Sus scrofa: one gene and its partner. The protein of the gene in region 1 interacts with the protein of each later gene in a pairwise test. Links are inferred from orthologs where the notes say so. Each region holds a gene or a part of one and is shown on either strand. Other genes may lie near its edges.

What was found.
Region 2: the proteins of NEIL2 (region 1) and MEOX1 interact in binary tests that used the Homo sapiens proteins (3 or more experiments, as listed by UniProt). The two-hybrid records come from large-scale screens. The link is inferred for Sus scrofa from reciprocal best matches to the Homo sapiens genes NEIL2 and MEOX1.

What each region holds. Positions count from the first base shown.
Region 1 is NC_010456.5:14,943,686-14,947,946, reverse strand, and holds the start of NEIL2 (endonuclease 8-like 2), read right to left. Parts: upstream 2,819-4,261; 5' UTR 2,663-2,818; intron 452-2,662; 5' UTR 450-451; coding exon 312-449; intron 1-311. UniProt on the Homo sapiens protein: Involved in base excision repair of DNA damaged by oxidation or by mutagenic agents. Has DNA glycosylase activity towards 5-hydroxyuracil and other oxidized derivatives of cytosine with a preference for mismatched double-stranded DNA (DNA bubbles).
Region 2 is NC_010454.4:19,429,972-19,434,272, forward strand, and holds the start of MEOX1 (homeobox protein MOX-1), read left to right. Parts: upstream 1-1,431; 5' UTR 1,432-1,895; coding exon 1,896-2,364; intron 2,365-4,301. UniProt on the Homo sapiens protein: Mesodermal transcription factor that plays a key role in somitogenesis and is specifically required for sclerotome development. Required for maintenance of the sclerotome polarity and formation of the cranio-cervical joints.

The DNA of each region.
Region 1 (4,261 bases):
CCCGATGTTGCCGTGAGCTGTGGTGTAGGTTGCAGACGTGGCTCGGATCCCGCGTTGCTGTGGCTCTGGCGTAGGCCAGTGGCTACAGCTCCAATTCAACCCCTAGCCTGGGAACCTCCATATGCCGCGGGGAACGGCCCAAAGAAATAGCAAAAAGACAAAAAAAAAAAAAGAGAGATGCTGTGTGGAGTCTCAGCATGGTTGCCTCAGGCTGGGGGGAGTAGAGAGCATGGAAAGTCTGGAGATAAACTTAGGGGAGGATGTGACAATGGAGCCGGCCCCTCAGGGTGAGGTGCAGACAAGGAACTTACCTGGGCGTCCTGGAGCCACAGCAACTGAAGGCCAGCAGGGTTCAGCTTCTTACTGCTGCCCCCTGTCTTGACCACCTGCTGCCCCACAAAGGGGGAGACCAGATGGTGAAACCTCCTCACAGATGGCCCCTCCGGCATCCCTGCGGGCAGAGGTGGGAGAGGAAGCCACTGACTGAGCCACCGACTGAGCCGTGTTATCTCTAGCATTTCTAACATGGGCCAAGCACTGAACTTTCAAGCTGCTATTTTTTTGCCACCAACTTTAAGAGCAAATACGGCCCCAAAGGGAATGTGGTTAGAGATGGAGGTGTCAGATGAAAGCACCAACAGTGTGCCAGGAATCACACCGCACACGTCCTCAGCTTCCATCCTATGGCAGCCTGAATGGGAGCTGGCCCTTTGGACTTTAGGCCTGGGCTATGGTCCTAACTCATCTCCAGGTTTTTTCTTTCTTTTATTTCTTTCTTTTTTTTTTTTTTTTTTTTGTCTTTTTGCCATTTCCTGGGCCGCTCCAGTGGCATATGGAGGTTCCCAGGCTAGGGGTCGAATCAGAGCTGTAGACACCGGCCTATGCCAGAGCCACAGCAACGTGGGATCTGAGCCGCATCTGCAACCTACACCACAGCTCACGGCAACATCGGGTCCTTAACCCACTGAGAAAGGCCAGGGACCTGGTTCCTAGTTGGATTCCTTAACCACTGCGCCACGATGGGAACTCCATCTCCAGGTTTTTTCTATCCTCTTCCTTCTGCCTCCCCCAAACAATCATTCCAGCCCACAGATGCTGCTTTATCTCCTGCTTTCAGGAGAGAAGGATTTAAAGGCACACTGACAAAGATGTGGATCCAGCCCCACCAGGACCACCCCACTAGAGGGACTGCAGTGTCTGTGATGACAATGCAGAGCTCAGAATCACAGCAAGTGCAGTCCAAGATCATGTCTGGTCAGAACAGGGAGAGGCCACATCCAGCTTAACTATAGCAAACTATCCCTGGGAGTTCCCGTTGTGGATCAGCAGGTTAAGGACCAGAGGTTGTCTCTGTGAGGATGTAGGTTTGATCCCTGGTTTCACTCAGTGGGTTAAGGATCTGGCACTGCCCCAAGCTGCAGCATAGGCCACAGATCCGGTGAAGGCTCCAGCTGTAAAGCTCCCAGCTACAGCTCCCAATCCACCCTTGGCCTGGGAACTTCCATGTGCTGCAGGTGCAGCTGTAAAAAGAAAAAAATAGAGAAAGAAATAACTGAGAAACAGCTGGGCTTCCATTTTAATCTGATGTAAGGGTATCTGTGACTCTCATCTCTCCCCGCCCCAAATCATCCAAGTTCACTGGGAGCTCATATATGAGGCAGTCTGAGTGGTCTGCCCCTAGCTTCTAGGACAGGGAAGGCATCCCCCCACCCTTACCTATTTATCCACCTGCAAAAGACTGCAAGTTATCATGGAAACCCAAAGAACTAATCAGTTTCCTGGCATGGTGGTAGCTACCTGCATTTCATCAATTCTTGAAAGCATTTAAAAAATCTCTCAAAGGGGGGGTGCCTCTTACAATCCATGGTTTCTCATAGTTTGATTAGCAGCACATCCTATAATACATATTTTTAATTTGATGGTGCCCTAGCCTCGCTAAATGTGCTATTTCACATCTTCAAGACCCTGGAGAGACCCTACTAACCAAACTTCAGGGCTATAGGGAGATTGGCCACACTGCGGCTAAGCTGAACCTCAACCAGCAATGTGCGCTGGTCCTCTCCAACCGAGGAAGCTTCTGGAATAGTTCTGATCCTTAAAAACCTTTTGACACAAGGGCATGTTTCTTTTAGGTTTATTCATGGAGATGGAAAACTGGGCAGGGAACTGCCTCTACCGAATCCTTAAAATATCCGAACCGTAAGGGGCACAGATTCGATAAGGTCACCCCGCTACCTTCGAGCCCCTCCCCCCAGCGGTTAACCGCAAGAGGCTAATTAAGGGGCTGCCTAGCGACCGCGCTAAAAGGAGAGGAGCGGGCGTCCCCTTTTCTCAGGACATCATTCACTGTCTGGGGAGGGTCTAAAAGCATCTTCCCAGGGTGCGGGGCGGGCTGGTTGCAGAACCCGGATTGCTCAGGGGCAGAAATGCTAAAAAGTAGTTAACAGCCAAAAAGAAAGATAAATTCAGGTTTCCATAAAAGACGCTTCTAAAAGGTTCGGTAACTGAGTTTTCACGCCGGTAATAAAGTGACGAGGGTAAAGCTTGGGAAAGCCCTGCATTTCCGGCGGGGGACCCGTCACCGCCGAGGACGCGCCGCACCGCTCCCTACCCACCAGCGTAGGTAGCGCGACGCCGCGTGGGAGCTCGCAGCAGGACTCACCGGCTCCTGGGCCGTGGACCCTTGGACCCCAGCAACCGTGAGGCCTGCAGAGGACCCGGCGCCCAGCTTGAGCGCAGGCTCCGCCCCCGGGAGTGGGCACGGGGCTTTATTGGAAGGGAGCGGGGCTCCATCCGGAGGTGGGGCGTGCGTAACTCGAGGTTCCTCCCTCGGGGTGGGGCATATAGGGGCTCCGCCCCCAGGCGAGGAGGGGGCTCTGTCCTGGTGGGGACAGGGAGTGGTGGTGAGGGCGGGGCGAGGTGGGCCGTTCCTGCCCTAAGGGGGTCGCTGGATGCTGGGCAGTTGCCGAGGTTGGGGAGTGTGTCTGAGCAGACGTAGGGAAGAAACAAACCGCCCTTGGAAAGGTCATTGTCTTATACGAAGATAGACTGCTATAGAGAAAATTAAGTTAAACAAGACCACTTTGGGTGGTCAGGCAAAGGGAAGCCTTTTGGTTGGTTTTGCCGGGCCTCCAATCCTAGCGAGGTAATTGTGAAAAGGAAACAAGTTGTCAAGAAATTTTCGTAAAGTTTTTCAAGGGTGGGTTTTTTTTTTTTAATTTTATATTATTTGAATATTATTATTTAAATTTTTACCGTAAACAAATTTTGTTTTAAAAGCAATATTTGGGGAATTGCCTGGTGGCTCAGCGGTGTAAGGACCTGGCATTGTCGCTGCTGAGGCAGTTGGGGCCCTGGTTCTATTCCTAACCGGGAACTTCTGCATGTCCTGGGTGCTGCCAAAAAAAAAAAAAAAAATCGATATTAAACTTCATCGTGTTATTATGGAAATATTACAAAGCAGGGATTCTCAAACTTTAATGTGCATATGAATCACCTGGGAGTCTTTTTTGTTTGTTTTTTTGTTTTGTTTTTCTTTTTAGGGCTGCACCTACCGCATATGAAAGTTCCCTGGCCAGGGGTCAAGTTGGAGCTACAGCTGCTGGTCTCTGCCACAACCATATCTGCAACCTATACTGCAGCTTGTGGCAACGCCGGATCCTTAACCCACTGTTTGAGGCCAGGGATCGAACCTGAATCTTCATGGATACTGTGTCAGGTTCTTAACCTGCTGAGCCACAATGAGAACTCCTTAATCGTGTTTAAATGCAGATTCTGACTCTGGTGTGTAGAGGGCCCAAGATTTTCCTTTTCAACAAGCTCCCAGGAGATGCTGTGGCTGCTGGTGGTCCAGGGACACAGGTGGGACAGCAAGGACTTGGGGCACTGTACTTGGCAGTTGGTGAGCACTTAATAATTACTCTTTGAATGAGTGGTTAAATTAGATATTAGATAATGAAACCCATAAACTATAAAGTGCTATGCAAATGCATGTAGTCACCACTCTATGACAATAAAGTTGCTGAATCTGCGTGGAAAATGGCAAACTCCCAGAAGAGCAACTCGACAGAAGAGCAGCAAAGAGCATTGTTCCTGCATTGGACTATCGGGGTCCAAATCCTCCCACTCAGGAGGCAGACCTTGGGCAAGTAACTTTTCTGTACCTCAGTTTCTTCATCTATAAAATGGAATGAAAGGACCACATGACTAGGCTGTGGTGGGATTTACTGAGATGCTTCACATGAATCTCGGTGCTGGGCCT
Region 2 (4,301 bases), on another chromosome or scaffold:
GAGCGTTCGTGCAGCCTCCAGGCTGCAGTGCTGAGACCCATGACTCCTCCTTGGGGAACCCTGTGGATCTCTGGAACCAGCCAAGAGGGATAGCACTCTTCTGGTCCATGCCCATTTCGGCCCCAGTCCTGCAGCTCTGGGCTGTGGAATAGTCAGTAAGAGAAGAGCTCTGACCCCATGTGCTTGGAATGTCATCCTCCAAGAATTTTTTTTTTTTTTTGTCTTTTTCTAGGGCTACGCCCATGTCGTATGTGGGTTCCCAGGCTAGGGGTCGAATCGGAGCTGTAGCTGCCGGCCTACGCCAGAGCCACAGCAACGCTAGATCCAAGCTGCATCTTCAACCTACACCGCAGTTCACGGCAACGCCAGATCCTTGACCCACTGAGCGAGGCCAGGGATTGAACCCTCAACCTCATGGCTCATAGTTGAAATCATTAACCACTGAGCCACGATGGGAACTCCCCCTCCAGGAAATTATATTAACCCTCCAGAGAGACCAGCAGGGCCTGGGGATTGAGTGGACTAATTGGACGGTTGAAATGGCCTTGGGGCCTCCAGGGACGGGCACCAGCCTGGAAGACCATGCAACTGTGTGCCGAAGAGAACTCCTTTGGGAATGAGAATCGCCCTGATTGCTATTTCCATGCCCAGGTTCCATGGAAACCCTGGCCTCTGGGGGTTAGGGGAAGCAGGTGGGTGAAGGTTAGGAGGCCAGAGAGCAGGTGGGGGAGGCCTGGAGGAACTTCAAGGAACTTATCTGACAGTCTTTCCCTTGCCATGGAGAAAAATGACTTGAAACCCCTCTAGAGATGAGTGTGGCGAATTGGCATGTAAGTTGGGGGTTAAAGAGCGGAAGGAAGAATCTGATTGTTTTTTTAAGTTACTGGGAAAGTGAGAATGTCACTTTGGGCCGAGAGAAACCCTTTTTTTTTTTTTTCTTCTAGAGTGTGTCTTTCTACTATAGACGGTAGTGGGCCGCTGAGACTTGCAAAAAAAGCTTTCTTTTAATCCACCTTCCTTTTGCCAAGCAGCAGTAGAAGGGCCTTTAAATCAAATGCAATCAGCAAACTTGTCTCTTGCACTTATTCCCAGCTTCACTCCCTGGAATTTGGCACTTGATGGATGCTGGATCTGACTTAAGGCTTTTTCCAAATCCGAGACTTGGGGAATTTTGTTAACAGTGCAATAAAATAACTTCATAGTGTTATAGGAGGCACATTAAAGAAATTGTGTGTGTGCTGCTCTCTCTCCTTAAAAAAAAAAAAAAAAATACAGACAATGTTTCTTTAAAAGACTCCATCTGCAAATCCCATTAGATGTGCATATAAGGTTTCTGATGATTAATAGTTGCCTGCTCGGGTTTTGGTTGGAGGGGATGGTGTGTGTGCTGGTTAACCCCTCCCTCTCCTCTCTCACATTTCACTTCAGAAATTTGTCACTCTCTCCCCACCGCAGGATTTAAAAGTGTGTCTCAGCAGCCCTGGACCAGCTCTCTGCAGGCGTTTGCTGCAGGCTCCAGGACAAGCGCTCTTTAGCTGGTGCGTCTGGGCTGGGACAGTGAAAATGTTGAGTGTCATCAGCGACACATACACGTACAGGGGACCCCAATAGGCAAGCTGGTGCGTCGGGGGGGCCAGGAAGCCAGGAGTGAAGTCTGATAGAGGTGTGTACACACGTGTGTGGAGCCAGCCACCTGTGTGCGGACCGTAAGGAGCGACTTTAGTTTTGGTGTTTGTTTGGGGTCCTGGGTGGAATTTTTCTGTTGAACATTTTTCTCTTCTGTTTAAAAAAAAAAAAAAAAAAAAATTTTTTTTTTTTTTTGCATTTTTAACAAATTGAGTATAAAGTATACCAATCCAGCCTTTGAAAGGACTGAGACGTGGGGCAGACGACAGATGGATCCAGTGGCCAGCAGCTGCATGAGGGGCCCCCACCCCCCAGCCCCGGTCTGGGGCTGCCTTCGAAACCCCCACTCAGAAGGCAGCGGGGCCTCAGGGCTCCCCCACTACCCGCCGACCCCGTTCTCCTTCCACCAGAAACCAGACTTCACAGCGACAGCGACGACAGCGTACCCTGACTTCTCGGCCTCCTGCCTGGCGGCCACCCCGCACAGCCTGCCCCAGGAGGAGCGCCTCTTCACTGAGCAGCACCCCGCCTTCCCACAACCCCCTGACTGGCCCTTCCCTGTCTCGGAGGCCCGGCGGAGGCTCAACCCAGGCCCGGCGGGGGGCTCCAAGGAGATGGGGGCCCGCAGCCCAGGCCTGGTGGACACCACGGGTGGCCCGGGCGAGGACTACGAGGTCCTTGGGAGCAGTGCCAATGAGACGGAGAAGAAGTCAACCAGACGGAAAAAGGAGAGTTCAGGTAGGTGGCTGGGGAACAGCTGACGTTTCCTTTACTGTGTGATCTCGGGGCGGTTGCTTGCCCTCTCTGAGCCTAGGTGCCCTGACCGTAAATTGGGATCTAACCTAATCAGAGGCGGGGACTAGACCAGTTACCTCGGAGTTTCAGGAGTCTCTGGTGATGGGGGCTATGACTATGTCCCCAGCCTTCCTGGGCCCCAGAAAAATGTGCCAGCGAGAGAATGAAACAGGATCCACATCGAGTTGGAGGGCATGTGGGAGGGAGCCTCTGGGTAGAGGCTGGCAAGGGCCGCAGAGGGGCTTTCCTGCATCTGGGCTGCCTCTGGGTCATGCTTCTCCCCACCACACCCCAGCCAGCTCCAAACAGTCCCAGAGCCCCAGGACTTGCTCCCAGGGGCATCAGCTAAAACCGAGACTTGGAAGGTTAAGATCAAGGCTGGGACCCTGGGCAGCCAAGCAGAACCAGAACTCTGTGTGTCCAGGAGGCAGAGGAGCAGGCACAGGGCGGGGATGCAAGAGGCAAGCACTGAGCTTTGGGGCCGACCACCCAGGAGGTACCACCCTACCCAGCAGGCCAGGCCCAGGCCAAAGGGTCAGCTCAGCCTGCTAAGGTCTGGGTGACCCCCAGGGCAGGCTGCCCCTCTGAGGAGCCCTCCAGAGAGAATCAGGGAGGCAGGCAGCAGAGGGCAAGCACTGGATCTTGGCGTGAAGGTAACGCCCAGCTTGGTGCTGGAGCCCCCGAGGCCAGAGGCTGGAGCTGGGCTGCTTGCTAAGATCCCAGCTAAAGTCCATCTCCTCCCCGTGGTGGGGACCTGTTTTTTCCTCATCTCCCAGTGGGACCCCCCCTAGCCCCCCACCACGGGCTTCTCTCACCTCCTGTTCACCTTTGGCCTGGATCCCTCCCCCATCTCACACAGCACAAGACAGTGCCCTGGCCTCCTGCCCCTTCTGCCCCATTGTGTCTTCCTGACAACTGCTTCGGGGTACATCTGACTGTCTGAACCTACAGAGGACCCTTCTTGGGGCTCACCAGGGGCAGGCTGAAAATGAGAGGAGCAGCCAACCAAAGAAAACATGCTCCGCTTTGCTTTACAAAGCGCTTTCAACGTAGCACAGACTTCCCGAGCATCTTCTCTTTGCCAAGAGGCCCTGGGGTTGCAGAGATGAAAAGGCGGTCTCACTCCCACCTCCAAAGAGCGCAAACGGAGAGGGAGGGGAGGTCAGCAGGTGCCTGTCTGGCAGTGGATGTGCTCTGATTCAGGGGGTTCGAGGTGCTGCAGGAAACATACCATAGCTCTTTTGAGTCCCACAGGTTTTCGAGTTTGATACAGCAGGTCTTATCAGTGACTTGATTCTTTAGGCGTGGAAAAGGAGAAACTTAAAAGTTTGAGGGGAGCACTGCTAGCAAGGAGTCAAAACAGAACGACCCATTCATCTCAAGGAAGCCAGGACTTTTCCAGTTTTAGCATTGAAAGTTCAGCACCCCAGGGACAGTTAGTCACCCAAGAAGAAAACTCAAACCCCAGACTTCAGACCCCAAACCCACCCCCTTCGGTAGATTTCAAGCACAATTCTTCATTTTGAAATATTGGGTCTCCAGGCTTGAAGAAGCCTCTCGGTGTGCTTGCAATGAATGATAAAAACCACAGCCCTCCAGGCTGCTCAGTAGACGGGCCCTTTAAGTCCCCAGTCGGCTAAATCCTGACCTATTCCTAGGCTTGGCTGGAGATGTGCCGAGAACGGGGCATTTCTGCTTCTCCTCTCCAAGAAGCTCTCAGCCACTTGGCTCTGCACCTCGTTGAAGAGCCCTCCCCTCTGTGGCGCCTGCCACCGTAGCTCCTCCATCTCTGCCCACATCCACCTTGGCTGCATCCAGGGACCTGGGAGCCAAGGGCACTGGGAAGACTCGGGCAAAGCCAAGGGCTGGATGTAGGCAAG